Rhinolophus ferrumequinum: one gene and its partner. The protein of the gene in region 1 binds, or shares a complex with, the protein of each later gene. Links are inferred from orthologs where the notes say so. Each region holds a gene or a part of one and is shown on either strand. Other genes may lie near its edges.

What was found.
Region 2: the proteins of KLHL3 (region 1) and WNK3 are in contact, whole or in part, in a crystal structure (PDB 5NKP), measured with the Homo sapiens proteins. The link is inferred for Rhinolophus ferrumequinum from reciprocal best matches to the Homo sapiens genes KLHL3 and WNK3. Residues at the interface, in NP_059111.2 of Homo sapiens: Lys312, Arg339, Phe355, Gly357, Arg360, Thr386, Phe402, Gly404, Ser405, Gly407, Ser432, Ser433, Tyr449, Gly451, Arg454, Cys456, Ser481, His498, Arg528, Tyr577; in NP_065973.2 of Homo sapiens: Glu537, Cys538, Glu539, Glu540, Thr541, Glu542, Val543, Asp544, Gln545, His546.

Annotation. Positions count from the first base shown.
Region 1 is NC_046307.1:12,975,333-12,983,216, forward strand, and holds the start of KLHL3 (kelch-like protein 3), read right to left. Parts: upstream 3,012-7,884; 5' UTR 2,968-3,011; intron 2,846-2,967; exon of another isoform or gene 2,733-2,845; intron 2,671-2,732; exon of another isoform or gene 2,487-2,670; 5' UTR 2,434-2,486; coding exon 2,378-2,433; intron 1-2,377. UniProt on the Homo sapiens protein: Substrate-specific adapter of a BCR (BTB-CUL3-RBX1) E3 ubiquitin ligase complex that acts as a regulator of ion transport in the distal nephron.
Region 2 is NC_046284.1:81,495,876-81,503,090, forward strand, and holds the start of WNK3 (serine/threonine-protein kinase WNK3), read left to right. Parts: upstream 1-4,214; 5' UTR 4,215-4,610; intron 4,611-4,812; exon of another isoform or gene 4,813-4,916; intron 4,917-7,215.

The sequences.
Region 1 (7,884 bases):
GAGATAATAAGGCCGATATCCAAGGATGAACCCATTGGCCAAAGGCTTCAATCTTCTCTCTCACCAACTTTCTTTTTAGTTATCAGAGCTTCTCGCAGAAGTTATCAGCTAATCAGCAAATAGTTATCCAGCACCTACTGCGCGTGCAGTCACACAGTAGGCAACGAGGAGTATTCAGAGGTACAGGTATCGTCCTTGAGGACCTATCTCCAAGTTTGGGGACTTATACGATATATGAAACAAAAGCACAAAAAGACTTTGTGGGTGGGCCTATTATTCAGTATCCAACTATGAGATACAAACTAGAGGTATTGAAATTCATATGAACACCAGCCAGGACTAGAAAAGCTGAGATTTCTTGGATAAAGAATTTTAAAACTTGATAGATGGATAACTTTTTGGAAAAGAGGAAGGAAAAGGCATTGCAGGAAAAAGGAACTCTGGAAGATAAGGATCTGAGGCTGGATGGAGTTGAATACGGGATGGGTGACCACAAGAGACCAGTAGACCCCTTGGTGGGGTATGGGTGAGCCTATGAGAGGGACTGGAGACTAGAGGCAGACTTCAGAAGAAGACGAATGCCTGGCACAGTAAGCTGGCCTTGGAGTGGAAACAAAATGCAGTAAGCTGAATGACCTGGTGAATGTGGGAAGTTGCTCAGTTTGGATTTCTTGCCTAGTCTCTGTCTCCAAAAGGGAAAAGCAAAAGAACGTGTGCAAAAATCAGGTGTTATAAAGCCAAAGACATCAGCCATCCCAGCTGAGTCACCAGAGCACTAAAGAACGAGACGGCTTCTTGAGGGCAAGGACTCATTACATTTCTGAACACAGTACTGGGAACACATTTGGGGCCCAAAATGCGTGGGAAGCAGTCCTTGGAACTGCTGCTGCTGCTGGTCTCACATGGATCTTGTAGCCCTGCTATAACGTGGGTCAAGAAGACAGGCCTGGTCCAGAATCTCTAAACCTCCATTCACATCACCCGTGCCCTTCTGCTAGCTACCAGGCCAATAGGAGAAGGTGAAGACACTGCCCACGTCTGCCCCAAGCCTAGGAAACAGGCCACATGGAGTCCAACACAGCTCCTGCTACAAAGAGCACCCAGGGAGAGGATAGACCAGCAGCACACTCAGTCTGAAAAGTCCCAGACTCTGCCTGTGGGAGTCACATCAAGAAACACAGTCCCTGGGGCCCCAAAAATCATACCAGTTCTAATGGGATCTAGAGATCTTTAATGACGTCATTCTGCAGCATGAGATGCAAGAGTTGGGAGAATCCACGCAAAGGCAAGTGTTTACTGAGGTTCTCTCTAGACAGTGTTGATTTAGTTAAACCTGTTATCATGTAACCAGCCGGTTACCATCTGCATCAGACTGGCAGCTCAGAGCAGCCGCCCTCCTCCCACTGGAGGCTTCCATGGCCTGACCCCTCCCTGCTCTCTTCTCACCTCAAGGAAAATGGCAAGCCTTGTTCTTTCCCAGCCGCAGATCCACAGAATGAAGAGGCTGGCCCAACATGAGGAGATGTTTTAACACAAAGAGGGAGGAATGACCTGCCCTTGCACTGCACTGAGCACCTTCACAATGAAAGCAGCAGATCCTCAGATAACAGTTTAAAATTGACATGCATGTGCCTGCCAGGAAACAAACCCTTGCTAGTAAGATCCAGCTCAACAAAAGTACTTAAATTCCCTTCTGTTGATTCCTATTTCATAAGAAACCCCTGGTAGAAGAAGCAAGAGTTCCTCTCAAGCACATACCTTCCAGTAACATTTATAAACTTTTCAATGCAAATGGAAATCAGTTCAAAGCAAGTATCATCTGACAGGTTTCTCTCCTTCTTACTTGAACTTGTGCGTGTATATAGGAACACGCACGCACACACACGTACACACGCACACACGCACACACTTTTAGGAAAGACATCAGCATGGCATGATTGCTGAAGATTTGAGCAATTCAATGTGAAAACGCAATCACTCTATGCCAGGCCAGCCCTGCTATGACATCAAAAAACCCCCCACCAAAGAAAAAACACCCCGGGAAAGTAGCCAGGAAAGGGAAACGCCTCCTTGAAACAGCCTGAGAAAGGCAATCCTGATTCAGCCCGTGCTGAAACTATTACCAAACACCAGCCAGGAAGTCCCTTCTTTCAGGGTGCTCCGCTGCCCAGCAAACCCAGACCTGCCTTTGCGGAAGCTAGGTCTCTGGAGAAAGGGGCTTCCCGGCTCTACTCTGCTGCCCACGGGGATCCAGCAGTGGCCAGGTCTTCGGACCCTGCCTAGCCAACGCAAACACAAAAGCTGGTGGCTGCCCCGAGAGCACACATTTACTTACACACATACTCACACACAACACAACACACACATACATACATACCTTTCACCCTCCATTGTGCGAGGCCCAGCGGGGGTGGCAGCTGCTGAACTGTGCATGCACCCAGGGATCCTAGCTCTGTTCTCAGTCTGGCAGCCAACCAGCGGGAGACCTGATCAGCAACAGTGATTCAGCATGGCTGCAAATGAAGCCTCCTCCCTCTCGATCCTCCTTCCTCTGACTTACTAGCGGCAGCTTCTACCGCAGAAGCAGCAGCAGCAGAAAATGTCTTACCCAGAGCTCCCTGCAGCCCTTTCAGCTGCTAAAAGCAGCAACCCACTTGCTCCCCCTCCCCCGCAGGCTGGCTGCTCCGTCTCCTAGGAACAGCGCAGCTCCCGCAACCCCAGTGCACTGCCACCTTTCCAGCTGCCTCCACATCTGCGCAGGCATCCCCGGTCCAGGCGACTGGCCCACCCCAGGGGCTCCCGTCTCCTCTGCCTAGACTGCAAAGGCTCTGGCAGCTCCTCACTAGCCCAGGAAACATTGGCCCCCACCTCCTGCCCTGCCCCCACAGGCCACGAATGAGTCTGTCAGCCCCGCCGGATTGCTGGAATGAGGAGGCCCCTCTGTGGCTTGCAGAGGAGTTTATCCACCTGGGGAAATTGACTTGTAGGTCACCGCTCACGGTCCAATTCCTCCTCCCAAAATCCGCAGTAGCTCTGAGAATCTGATAGAGAGAGGGGGAGTTAGGGGGAAAGAGCCTGATTAAACTGAGAAAAATGCAGAGAGAAATTAGAAAAGGGGGGAAACTGGTAAAAATAGGTGCAATTGAAACAAACCCGATTTTATGGCACAAGACCAAAGACGATTGCCGTAAAGCCATCACAGTAAATACTGCAGGCATTTATCTCCCTCCGACGTACTGAAAGACCACCAATGCCATAGCACAAACCTAAAATACCTTCCTGAAGTCTGTCCTGTTGAAATTTGACTTAAGCTGTGTCTCTAACTAGTTAGTCTCCCACTGATTCCCCCATTTCCAGCTGAAGATCTCTCACACCCTGTGATCTCCAGCTGCCGAGACTCCATTTGGACTAACTGAACTCTCATACCTAATCTTGGGAAAGCCAAGAGGCCAGTCTGTCTCCTCGCCACAGCCAAGAGGCTTAGCGGCCATTGAGGCAATCAGCACTGATGGTTGGTTAGCCACAAAAATGGGTTTGGGGGTTTCCCTGATGCCTCAGAAAATCATCCGTGAGCACCTCCAGGCTGGGACCCTCCAGGAAACACCTGCGCTTATCAGGATCCACGCGGGCTACCACGAGCTATCTGAGTGACTTTCGGCAAGTCTTTTCCTTGCTCTGGACCTCAGTTCTTCATCCACAAGACAGGGTCCAACCAGAAACCTCTAGAGTCCCCTTCAGCTCTAAAATAACATGATTCTAAAAATGTCTTCAATGCTCCATTTTTCTTCTCATTAATCTGTAAGGTTGTTTAAGAAGAAAATTTTACTGGACTCTAGATTTTTGTGGGGGGGCTTCAGGTAGGATGACATGACACATATTGAAGTACAAGAGATGCTCAGTACATCTACTATTGTTATAATTTTGACCTGTTAAAGTTTCTTCACTGCTATAAACCCCTAAAACCAAGTGGGGAAGGAGGGACACTGACGTTAATAGAAAGTTAAACTTTTTATCACCTTTCTATAACCAGCAGAACTCAAACTGGCGAGGGTGTCATTCTCAAAGATTATCTCCCTACATCGCAGTGTCCTCTTAGATGCAGCCATTGCCCAAATTCACTCTTTCTCAAGTGAGAAGAGGCCTGGGTGATTTTCTTTACCGCTCGCCACCCCCCCACCCAAGTCCTGTGTTTACACTTCTTCCTTTCACAACAATACTCCTCATGTCTTTGCCCTCTCTGTCCCCTTCCTCCTCTAATCAGCCTGTGGCTCTACTCCAGATATTTCCTCTTGAGGTGAATCACAGCAACCAGAAGCTGAACATCACAAATAAGGAAACCGAATCCCAGAATATGTGCCAGAGTACAGGCACCCACCAGGAAGACAACTGGGTGATTCATAGAAGGGACATAATTAGATGAGTCTCTTTCACAACTTCATACCCTCATTCACAACTCCACCATACAAGAAAAGGGGGAAATGTCACATCTAACAAACAAGAAAAAAGAAAGAAAAAAAAAGGCCAGGAAAGGAAATACTTAAGGGCTGAGCATATTCAGGTTTTAATACACAGCCATTAAGAGCCAGTTTAAAATTTCACAGAATTTCCTTTGCAACCTGCTTTTGCCCTCACTACAATGTATGTGTTGGAACCACACCGCCACCACCTGCACACTTTATTCACCACTCAAACCACAAGAGGTATACAGAACAGAGACAACTCAGAGAAGAGCACCAAGATGGCCATCTAATAAAATCAGGGTCAGAGCTAAGCCAAGAATCAAAGTCTCCAGACTCTTGGCACAAAGCTCCCATCCTAATCTTCTCTAGTTTCAGAGCTACGGTTTACATTTTCTACCTTATTATCCAAATGTTCTCTGGGTCACAGCCTGAACCTGTTGACTCTAGGCTAACTGTCCTAAATGGATTTCAGATTAAGAAGAGTTGCCACTAGATTCTTGCAGTAGAGGGAAGCCAAAGGAACCCAGGTCAGTAGTGTCTGCTTGGAGGAAGAGGTCCTATCGTTGGGATGCCTAGCAATAGTGCCTTACCCCCTTCCTGCCCTCCTCCCCCTTCCCAGGGTCCCTCCCGCAGCTTACCAATAGTACCCAGGGGCCCCACCACTCCATCCCAAAGCAACATACCCAGCCATCCACATCAACTTTGTTCAGAATCCTTCAGGTCTATGTGGCTCAGGAAGACACCATAGTAGGGGAAGAAACTTTGCTGTTGTTTGTTTTTTTAAGTGGATTTGGTCTAGAAAGTTCTCCTCTCCACCCTCCCTCTCTCCACAAGTAGCTAGTACAACATAGCTTATCTAGAAACAGGCCAATCATTCTTCCTTTTCAGTGTCTTTTTCCTTCTTCTCTTGCTTTTATCCTCCTCCTCCTCCTCCAGGACTTCAGTTCCTCATATTTGCAGGCACCATAACGCAGCAGAGTGGTCCTACACCTGGCTGTGCAACAGAACCTTCTGCCCAGCTGATAACTACTGCAGGCATCAGGGGATCAAAAGGCACAAGAAACTCTTTAGGGTTATGGAAATGTTTCATATCTTGACTGTGGTGATACACAATTATATACAACTACTACATTTCATCAAACTAGACACTTCAAGTGGGTGAATTTTATTTTATGTAAATTATACCTCACTAAATCGGGGGAAATAAATGCACTACAGGACCATATTCCACCTCACACCTATGGAGTTAAGGCCCAAGGAGCAAGAATTTGAATGAACTTCACAGGTGACTCTAAAGCACGACTAAATGCAAAGATCACTTAGGACAATGAAAAGATCTATTAGAATCAGGCAGACCAAGGTCCAAAACATGACTCCAGGGAAGTTACTTTACAAGTCTCAATTTTCTCATCTGTATAAAGGAGATAATAATAATACCTACCTTCCCAGGGCTGTTAGGTTTCAATGTGAAAGTATATAAAGCACTTAGCAGAGAGCCTGGCCTGTAATAAGCACTCAGTAACCATTAGCAGCTACTATTTGCATTGCCTATGCCAATGCTACCAAACTATAGCTCTGTGAGTCCTTGATTCTCAGGTAAACAAGAAAGTCAACCAGAGTAACTTGTGCCAGGAGGGCCTCCCCTGAAGCCATTTCCACATCTCCAGCAGTCACTATTACCAACAGGTCACCCAGGACTAGGCAAAACCAGAGCTGAATTAAGTAAGGCCCACCCACATCTGTATCACCAAAACTTCCCCTCAGATTCTGGACCACTCTCCCTAGAGCTGCTTAGTAGACTCGCCCTATAGCTGCTTAGAATGCCCCCAGGCCAGGAAGCCAGGCAGAAACTGAACATGAACTTGAGGCTCAAAAGTCAAACAGTACACAGACTAGCACCTTATCCAGAGTAATGTCTGGCTTCCCTCAGGACTCCTCCTCTGAGGGTGGAAGGACCCATGCCCTGAGGAGATTCAAGGGAATAATCAATCACCCATGGTATTTGTGTTGTGTTTCAAAGCGTACAAAGTGCTTCACGTCCCTCATCTTTAAGACAATACAATACCCCTTCAACTGCAATAACAGCTCCGGTCCCTTTTCTACGTGCTCTGGGCCAGGCTCTGTACTCAAGACTTGACTCGTACCCATCTTCTTTCATCCTCACAACAACCCTGTGAGAAGGGACTATTATTTGTTTTAAATGTGAGGTATATGAAAATGCCACAGATTTTTACATATTTCTTTTGTATTGTGCAACTTTACTGGATTCTTTTACTAGTTCTAACAGGTTTTTTATGAAGTCTTTAGGGTCTACGTATAATATCACATCATCTGTAAACAGTGATAGTTTAACTTCTTCCTTTCAAACTTGGGTATCTTCTATTTCTTTTTCTTGCTCTGGCTAGGACTTCCAATATTATGTTGAATAAAGTAAAAAGAGTGGCAACTTTGTCTTGTTCCTGATCTTAGAGGAAAGGCTTTCTTTCAGCTTTTCATCGTTGACTATGATGTTACCCTGTTTCCCCAAAAATAAGACCTAGCCGGACCATCAGCTCTAATGCGTCTTTTGGAGCAAAAATTAATATAAGACCCGGTCTTATTTCACTATAATATAACACTGGGTCTTTAATGTAATATAATATATAATATAATATAATATAATATAATATAATATAATATAATATAATATAATATAATATAATACCGGGTCTTATATTAATAGACCCTGATGGTCTGGCTAGGTCTTATTTTCGGGGAAACACGGTAGCTGTAGGCTTGACATATATGGGTTTTATTATGTTGAAGTACATTCCCTCTATATGCACTTTGTTGAGAGTTTTTATCATGAATGTTGAATTTTGTCAAATGCTTTTTCTGCATCTACTGATTGAGATGATGCTATGATTTTCATCCTTCATTTTGTCAATGTGATGTATCACGTTGATTGATTTGCATATGTTGAACCATCCTGCTTCCCAGGGATAAATCCCACTTGTTCACAGTGAATGACTCTTTTAATGTGATGCTGAATTTGGTTTGCTAGTATTTAGTTGAGGATTTTAGTTGTTCATCAGGGAAATTGGCCTGTAATTTTCTTTTCTTGTGGTGTCCTTCTCTGGTATTGGTATCATTGGTATATTGGCATCATAAAATGAGTTTGGAAGAGTTCCGTCCTCTTGTTAGAACTAATAAATAAAGTTGCAAAATATAAAATCAATATGCAAAAATCTGTTGTGTTTCCATACACTAACAACAAACTATCAGAAAGAGAAATAAAAGTATCATATTTAAAATTGCATTAAAAATAAAATACTTAGAAATGAATTTAACCAAGGAGGTGCAAGACCTATATATTGAAAACTATAAGACATTAATGGAAAAAAATAATAAAGACACAAATAAATGGAAAGATATTCCATGCTCA
Region 2 (7,215 bases), on another chromosome or scaffold:
AGTCAGGAAAACAAATACTCTGTCAGTCTCTCTGGCTTTTGTGTTCCAAAAGAGAAAGCCCTAGAGAAGGGGGATTAGGGTGCAGGGGCAGAGACGAAGTATCTGGGCCAGAAAAGTAAAAGGAAGAAAGATTTGCACAAGCTTATAAAAAGATTCTTCTCTTTCTCACTCCTCTCTTCTTGGGGAGAAGAGGCAGAGGGAGCTCTGTGGGAGCTCAAGCAGCATACACTCCCAGAAGCAACCTTTGGTTGGTAGGAAGAGTCAAGAGAGGACGGGCTGTGTGGAATGTCTAGGCAGATGGACCAACAGGTGACCTTGGCAATGAGTTCTGTGTCCTAAGTGTGGCAGAGCTGTTGGAGAGGACCACAGCACTTGAAAGAACCCAGGTGGTTCGAGGGCTCATCAATAACTGACAAGATCTAAGGATATGCAAGTAGATACATTTATTCCACCCCCATGACTGGCCACTACATAAGATCACCAAACTATGGCATCACCTGGGATAGGAAAATGAAAGTCAAGAATAATTTATATTGTTTCCCCAATAACCTGGTAAAAGGAGGGATCAGGGTCAAAAACTGAGTTCCAGAAATGGGTACAACTCTACCCATGGCTGTGGTAGTCAGCTGACTCTCAACTTTGAGGTTCATTTTGGTTCCATTTTCATTGAAGGAGTTACCATCCTGTGTAGTCCGGAGAAGATGAACAGCTAGCAAGGCCATGAAACTAACCCCCACCCCCATTCCTGTGGGATGCTAGGGTCTAAAAATGGATCTAGTGAAGGCTTTTGTAATTTCTTGGCACCAGAGCCTTCAGATAAGATTAACTAGATTATTGGAAGAATGTTTTCCTGAAATAATGTAAAGCCAAATTACAAGTGGTTAATGTAAGTCGAATTTTTTTTTTTTAACATTTTATTGGGGAAGGGGAACAGGACTTTATTGGGGAACAGTGTGCACTTCCAGGACTTTTTCCCAAGTCAAGTTGTTGTACTTTCAATCTTAGTTGTGGAGGGTGCCGTTCAGCTTCAAGTTGTTGTCCTTTCAATCTTAGTTGTGTCGGGCACAGCTCAGCTCCAGTTCCAGTTGTTAGTTGCAGGGGGTGCAGCCCACCATCCCCTGCGGGAGTCGAACCAGCAACCTTGTGGTTGAGAGGACACACTGCAACAAACTGAGCCATCCAGGAGCTCAGCGGCAGCTCAGCTCAAGGTGCCGTGTTCAATCTTAGTTGCAGGGGGCGCTGCCCACCATCCCTTGCGGGACTCGAGGAATCGAACCGGCAACCTTGTGGTTGAGAGCCCACTGGCCCATGTGGGAATCGAACCGGCAGCCTTCGGAGTTAGGAGCATGGAGCTCCAACCGCCTGAGCCACCAGGCTGGCCCGTAAGTCGAATTTTTTATTTGATGAATAGAAACAGCATACAAATGCCACTTGACAGTGGAAACCATTAGGTAAGAAGGGAATGTTCTCTGCTGTTCGTTGTTGACTAGCTACAAGTATAATTGCCCACTCCCCTTTCTGCCCATAGTGACATTTGTGTTGAGTTGTAGACAGGTTGTTTCAAACAGAAGAGCACATATGTCAATAAAAGGCCTAAATTGAGAAGGGCGTGTACTTGGATGGGGAGCAGACTTATTTGATTTTCTAATTTCTGAAGTTTATAAAAGTCACACTACTTTGTAGTTATTTAACAAATGTTTGACTGTCAAAGAGGTACTCAAAGAGGAGTTCACATCTGAGCAGGTTGAGGGGCTAATGTTTCTAAATATTGTTCTGCATTGATTACATCATCAAGCTCAGAGACAAAGGAAGAGGAGCACGTCACAATTGCAGGAGGTATCTGTTGCTTTTTCTAAAGGTGGATGTATCATGTTTTCCCGAAAATAAGACCTAGCTGGACAATCAGCTCTAATGTGTCTTTTGGAGCAAAAATTAATGTAAGACCTGGTATATATTATATTACATTATATTATATAATATTATGTTAAAGACCCGGTCTTATATTATAGTAAAACAAGGCTGGGTCTTATATTAATTTTTGCTCCAAAAGATGCATTAGAGCTGATTGTCCCTCTAGATCTTATGTTTGGAGAAACACGGTATGTGGTGGTAGTGGGAGTAGGGTGACATTGAGAAATAAAAATAGTGGGTACAAGTTTCTAGTTACCATCTCAGTGGTAGTCAGGACCTACAAAGACTTGGAATGATTTGGTAGCCTTTGACACTGTCCTTGGGTGGTTATTTGGCTATGCTTCCCATTTTCCCCATGGTAGTCAATAATTCAACAGGGAAAAGGAAGTATCTTCAGAGGCAGTGGGGAAAGAAGGATTTGGGGAGATCCCATCCATTCTACAGCTAATTTGGAATGCAGAGACCTCTAAAGTAGAGTGGTAGGACTATTTGGAGAAACCATACCTTGGTCCTCCAAATTTAGCCAGGAAGGAAGATCTTCACCGGTGGAATAGCTGGACCCTATAACTCTGAATTTCATTGCCTCAGAGTTTCCCCCCATTGTCAAAATTTGGAGATGAGGGTTTGAATTTATTAAGGGCAAGGTCTGGTTCACTTGCATGTCTGGCAATACTGGGATTCAACAGCGACTTCCAAGAGGAAAGATGCAGAGACAAGAAACAGGGCCACCATTCCACTTGATTTGGACTATGGAAAGTTAAATTTAGTGATTGGTTTTTAAAGAGCTGAAAAGACTGAGGTTCTGAGGCCTACAGTAAGAAAAGAAAAAAAACGTGTTGGAGAGAGGAGAGATTGACCGAACTCAGTGATAGGGCCTGGAAGCTGGGCAGTTGAACATGTTAGCCTGGCATTTTCCAGCCTCCTACTCTCAAGTCATCCTGCTAAGTCTTGTGGGGCATTGGGAAAGAAATCCTGCCCTTAAGGAGCTTTCATTCAGGGGCTGTGACACCAGATGCACCCTGGGCGATTGAAACATGCTTGGGCTCAGGAGTGAGCACACCTGGGTTCAAGTTCTGACTCCTTGATACATAGTTATGTGAACTTGAGCAAATCATGTCTATTTTCCCCTCCTGACCCTCAGTTTCCTCTTCTGTGGAGCCAGGATTGTTCATGTGAGAATGACAGAAACAATTCTGTATTGCGCCTGACACAGGGCAGGAAGCAGTTCTTAAACAAAGCTGCTACGCCGAGGTTAACATGCAGTGAAAGCTCCAAGGAGGTAGCATTTATACCAACTAGAGGATCTGGAAGGTGGATGGTAGGAGATGGTGAGAGCCAGCCTCAGGGGGAGGTGGCCTTTCCGCATGCGCGCATTCTAGGAGCCCTGCGGAGCAGTGACGGGGCGGGGCCAGGTTTCTGAAGGGGTTGCTATGGCACCGAGGGGCCAGGGGAGGTTAACCAAACCCTTAAAACCTTACTCCCTCCCCCACCCGCCACCGTCTGGGCCGAGGGCCATTGTTCCCGGCAAAATGGCGTCGCTAATACCCCTCCCGGCAGGAGGTCTAAGTAAGGCTGAGGGTGGGAGTGGAACTGGAGGTGGGAACAAAAACTACAATTCCCAGGGTACACTGCACCTGCCCGCGAGGCGCAGGGCACGTGCCTAGGCCTAGTGGTTACAAGCCGTCAAAAATCCGTTTCATAGCTTCCCTTTCCCATCCCCGCTGTCGTTGTTGCCCAGCCCCCGCGCGCGCGCACTGCGGTCCTGGGGGGTGGGGGGGGACATACCGTGGCCGTTGCCCTCGCAACGTAACTGGGGGACCCGTATTTGTAAATCTGTGCTTCGACTTCTAATCCCAAAACCAGCAGGTATGGGTCTCGCGAGAAAAGTCAGGGATTGCAAAAAGGTAGTTTAGGGGTGGCGGGTGAAAAGGTGACGGCGGGTACCACATCTCGGCAGAGCTACCGCATTTAGAGGCATGTGGAAAACTGAGAATGGGCGGGGGGTGGCTAGGAAGTAGTGTGTGCTTGGACTTTTTTTTTTCTGAAAAGGGTAAAGCAGCTGTGGAGAGAGCTTTTGAACACACAGAAGGTGTCACGCGTGGCTCCTCACTGAGATTTTTCTTCTTGGAAAGGAGAGAAGCCTTTCTCCTCGAAGCGCATCCCTCTCTCCCGCTGCGCTGAAGAGGGCGGAGGAGGAGCGCGCACGCTCCAGTTGGCTAGCCACTGGGCCCCTCGCAGCGCTGGGGGCCGTTCTGAGTTGGGGCTGCTCTGTCAGCTTTCTCCGCCCCTCCCCCTCTCCTTTCCTCCCCTCCCTTCCCCGTCCCCCTCCGCCCCTCTCTTCTCTCCATCTGAATTCCCTGGCTGGAGTACGCGTGCGCCTGCTTAGCTCCCAGGCGAGCGCGAGCTTGGGCTCGTACCCCGCTCCCCCAACCCCGCCCGCTCTTTACCTACCCGCGGTAGCTGGCCCGGTGGGCTCGCGGGGAGACGCTCGCGCGCGCACGCGCACACGACACGGAGCAGAGCTCCAGACATTCAGGAGGAGAGTAAGAAGCATCCGAGAAGGCGATAGAGGAGGAGGAGGTGTGTGTGTATGTGTGTGTTCTACGGTGTCGCTCGTCGAGGGGCGACCCGAGGCTTGAAAGAAGGCGAAGGAGAAGCGAAAAGAGTCAGAGTCTCCCTCTGCGAGAGCCCCTAATCTGGTGAGGGTCCCGGGCCAGCCGGGGCACTAGGAGAGAGGGAGGAGGCCGGGGGGCGTGTCTGGGATCAGGCTGCGAGATGAATGGGCCGGGGATGAATGGAGGGAGGCAGCGGCGGCCAAGAGTCTGTTAGAGGAGTAAGCGCCCTAGTGGGGGGCGGTTTGACCGAGGCGGGGTGATTGCAGTCACCAAGAGGTATGGGACGATGGGACGAGGCCGGGCTCCAGTCTTCGGGGTTGTCGGAGCTGTTGTCGGTGCGAGCGAACGGGCAGAGAGGAAAATTCAGAGGGGAGAAGTGGGGAAGGGCAGGTTTGAGGATGAGGTGCATTTTTTGTCTTTTTTTGTTTTTGTTGGGGGGTGGCAACTTTGGGAGTTGATGGAAGACTAGGGGACGGGGAAGGTGCGGAGAATACTTGAGGGGGGCGGGAGACAGTTGACAAAGGACTGAGTGATCATTTAAGTGAGATTGAGGCTACTGAAAGGAAAGATCGCTTCGGGTGTGGGAAGTTGAGTTTCAGTGGGTATTGGGGTGGGGGAAAGTAGATTTAATTGAGAGATTCAATTGCTGTGTGAAGGTCGGTAGGACTGGATCCGGGTGAAGAATAGTGCTGGCTGGTTGTGTCCATGGGTTATGTTCAAGGAGATTGAGAGGTGTTACTTGGGACGAGTGGTGTGTTCTGTGGCCGACAGGTTGGGAATGGGGAGGAGATTACCATCTGTATGATGGGGTTAGGATAAAAGTGGTGAGCTGGCTTCACTGTACTGAAAGAGGTTTTGTTTGACTAGTTAAGAGTGGTGAAACATTTATGTAGTGGGGTGTGGGTGGAAATCCTGCACGTGTGTGTCTCATGTCTTGGAAGTTGATAGATCTTGTTAAAATCGAACCCTCAAAACGTGGGAATGGTATGGCTATTCCTTCATAAGACTTACTGTTGACTCAAGCAATTATATGAATAATAGCCTTTAAAGTTGTGCAGATCTTCTGTACAGTAGTGATTGCATCCAATTTTGTGAGGCATTGTTACCTGTTTTTCATCTATAGTAAATTGTAATGCTAAGAGAACTTTTGAAGAGGTTTCAATATATGACACAGAGTAGCAGGTTTCTTCTAGACAGTCTCTACCCTTTGGATTGATGAGTGTAAAAATTGTTTAGACTTAACAGTCCAAAAAAAAGTTACTTCGCATTAAAGGATAGCTAAAATGCACAAAAGCTGATTTTGAATGCTAAAATAATTATACATATTTTTTTTGTCATAATGAATTTACCTTGTTTGAAAATTGGCGCTTGCATTTTGGTATGTTTCCAGCAGATTAAGATTACTTGGACATTCTGTTTTTTAAATACATTACTTATCATTTGGTAAGGATGTCTTGTGATAGTCTCATTGTGTTCTGAATCAAGATTAATAGTATATGGATTTTTTTAACTTTATCGACATATATTCATTTATCTTGGAAATGTTGCAAATTTGAGAACATTCTTATTCCCTTTTCCTTTTATTCTGCTTTGATGTTGGAAAGAATGTAATCCTTGTTTTGGCTACCCAGAGTTTAAATACAAAAGTTAATACTATGTTCATATTCTCTTAGATTAAGATGAATACTTAGTGTATTAAGTGGTAGAGTAGAAGTATGAAAGCACTGTGGGAGCCTGGAAAAAAGTTGCACTGACTCTGGCAGGCAAGGTAGTCTCCCAGTTTTGAACTAGGTGTTCCTGGACTGGAAGAACATTCAAGTATTGAGGCTGGAAAGTTTAAGCATGGTATATTTGGGGAGTGGAATGAGATAAGGCTGGAATCTTAGATTGAGGCTGGGGTGAAGGGCTACCCTGCAGAGTTAGCAGCCCTTAACTGTTTATTAAGAAGAGGAATAACTTAAGCAGATTTGTGTTCATCTCACCGCCTTTACTTCTGATGCACCCCCATCCCCCAACCTGGAATGCTCTCTTGCCTCCTCCCTTTGAATTTGAACTCATTCTTTTTAGATTAATCTCTGCCATTAGCTATTCTTGAAAGCCTTTCCTGTTTTCCTCTTTTTTCCTTTCCCCAGCATCCTACACCAAGCTACGTTAGGTGCCCCTGTTTCGTGGTCCCAATACACCTTGTACGTATTTTTACTATCATACTTCTGTTGGGAGGCAGGCAGGAAAGTTATTTTCGTTTTTATACCTAGAACAGAAAGTAAAGCTTAGAAAAATAAGACTCGCCCTAGAAGTCGTAGACCCCTTGTTAAGGTCTATGCTAACGGTCTCTTACACCCTGAAGTTCCTACTTCTAGACCAATGCTGATCCTCACATCACAAGTCGACACTCGTTGAAGTAATTATTCTGTAGTGTTTTAGGAGTTAGATTTCTGTAATGTGAACTTCAACTTTCTTCTGTAGAGGGATTTCTTTTCATTACAGTGTCGCATCATTTAGCCAGTAAATGATAAAGCCAGTGGTTGCAATGAACCAGTCTCAAGTAAAGAAAATGATAACTGTTATATTGCTGTCGGATTGCTAATCAGGTAATTTACTTTAAAAATAATTAACGGAAGGCCTAAATTTTTGCGTATATGTATGGGGAGCGGGGTTGTGTGCAAGAAAACCCCTTCCTTTCTCAGTC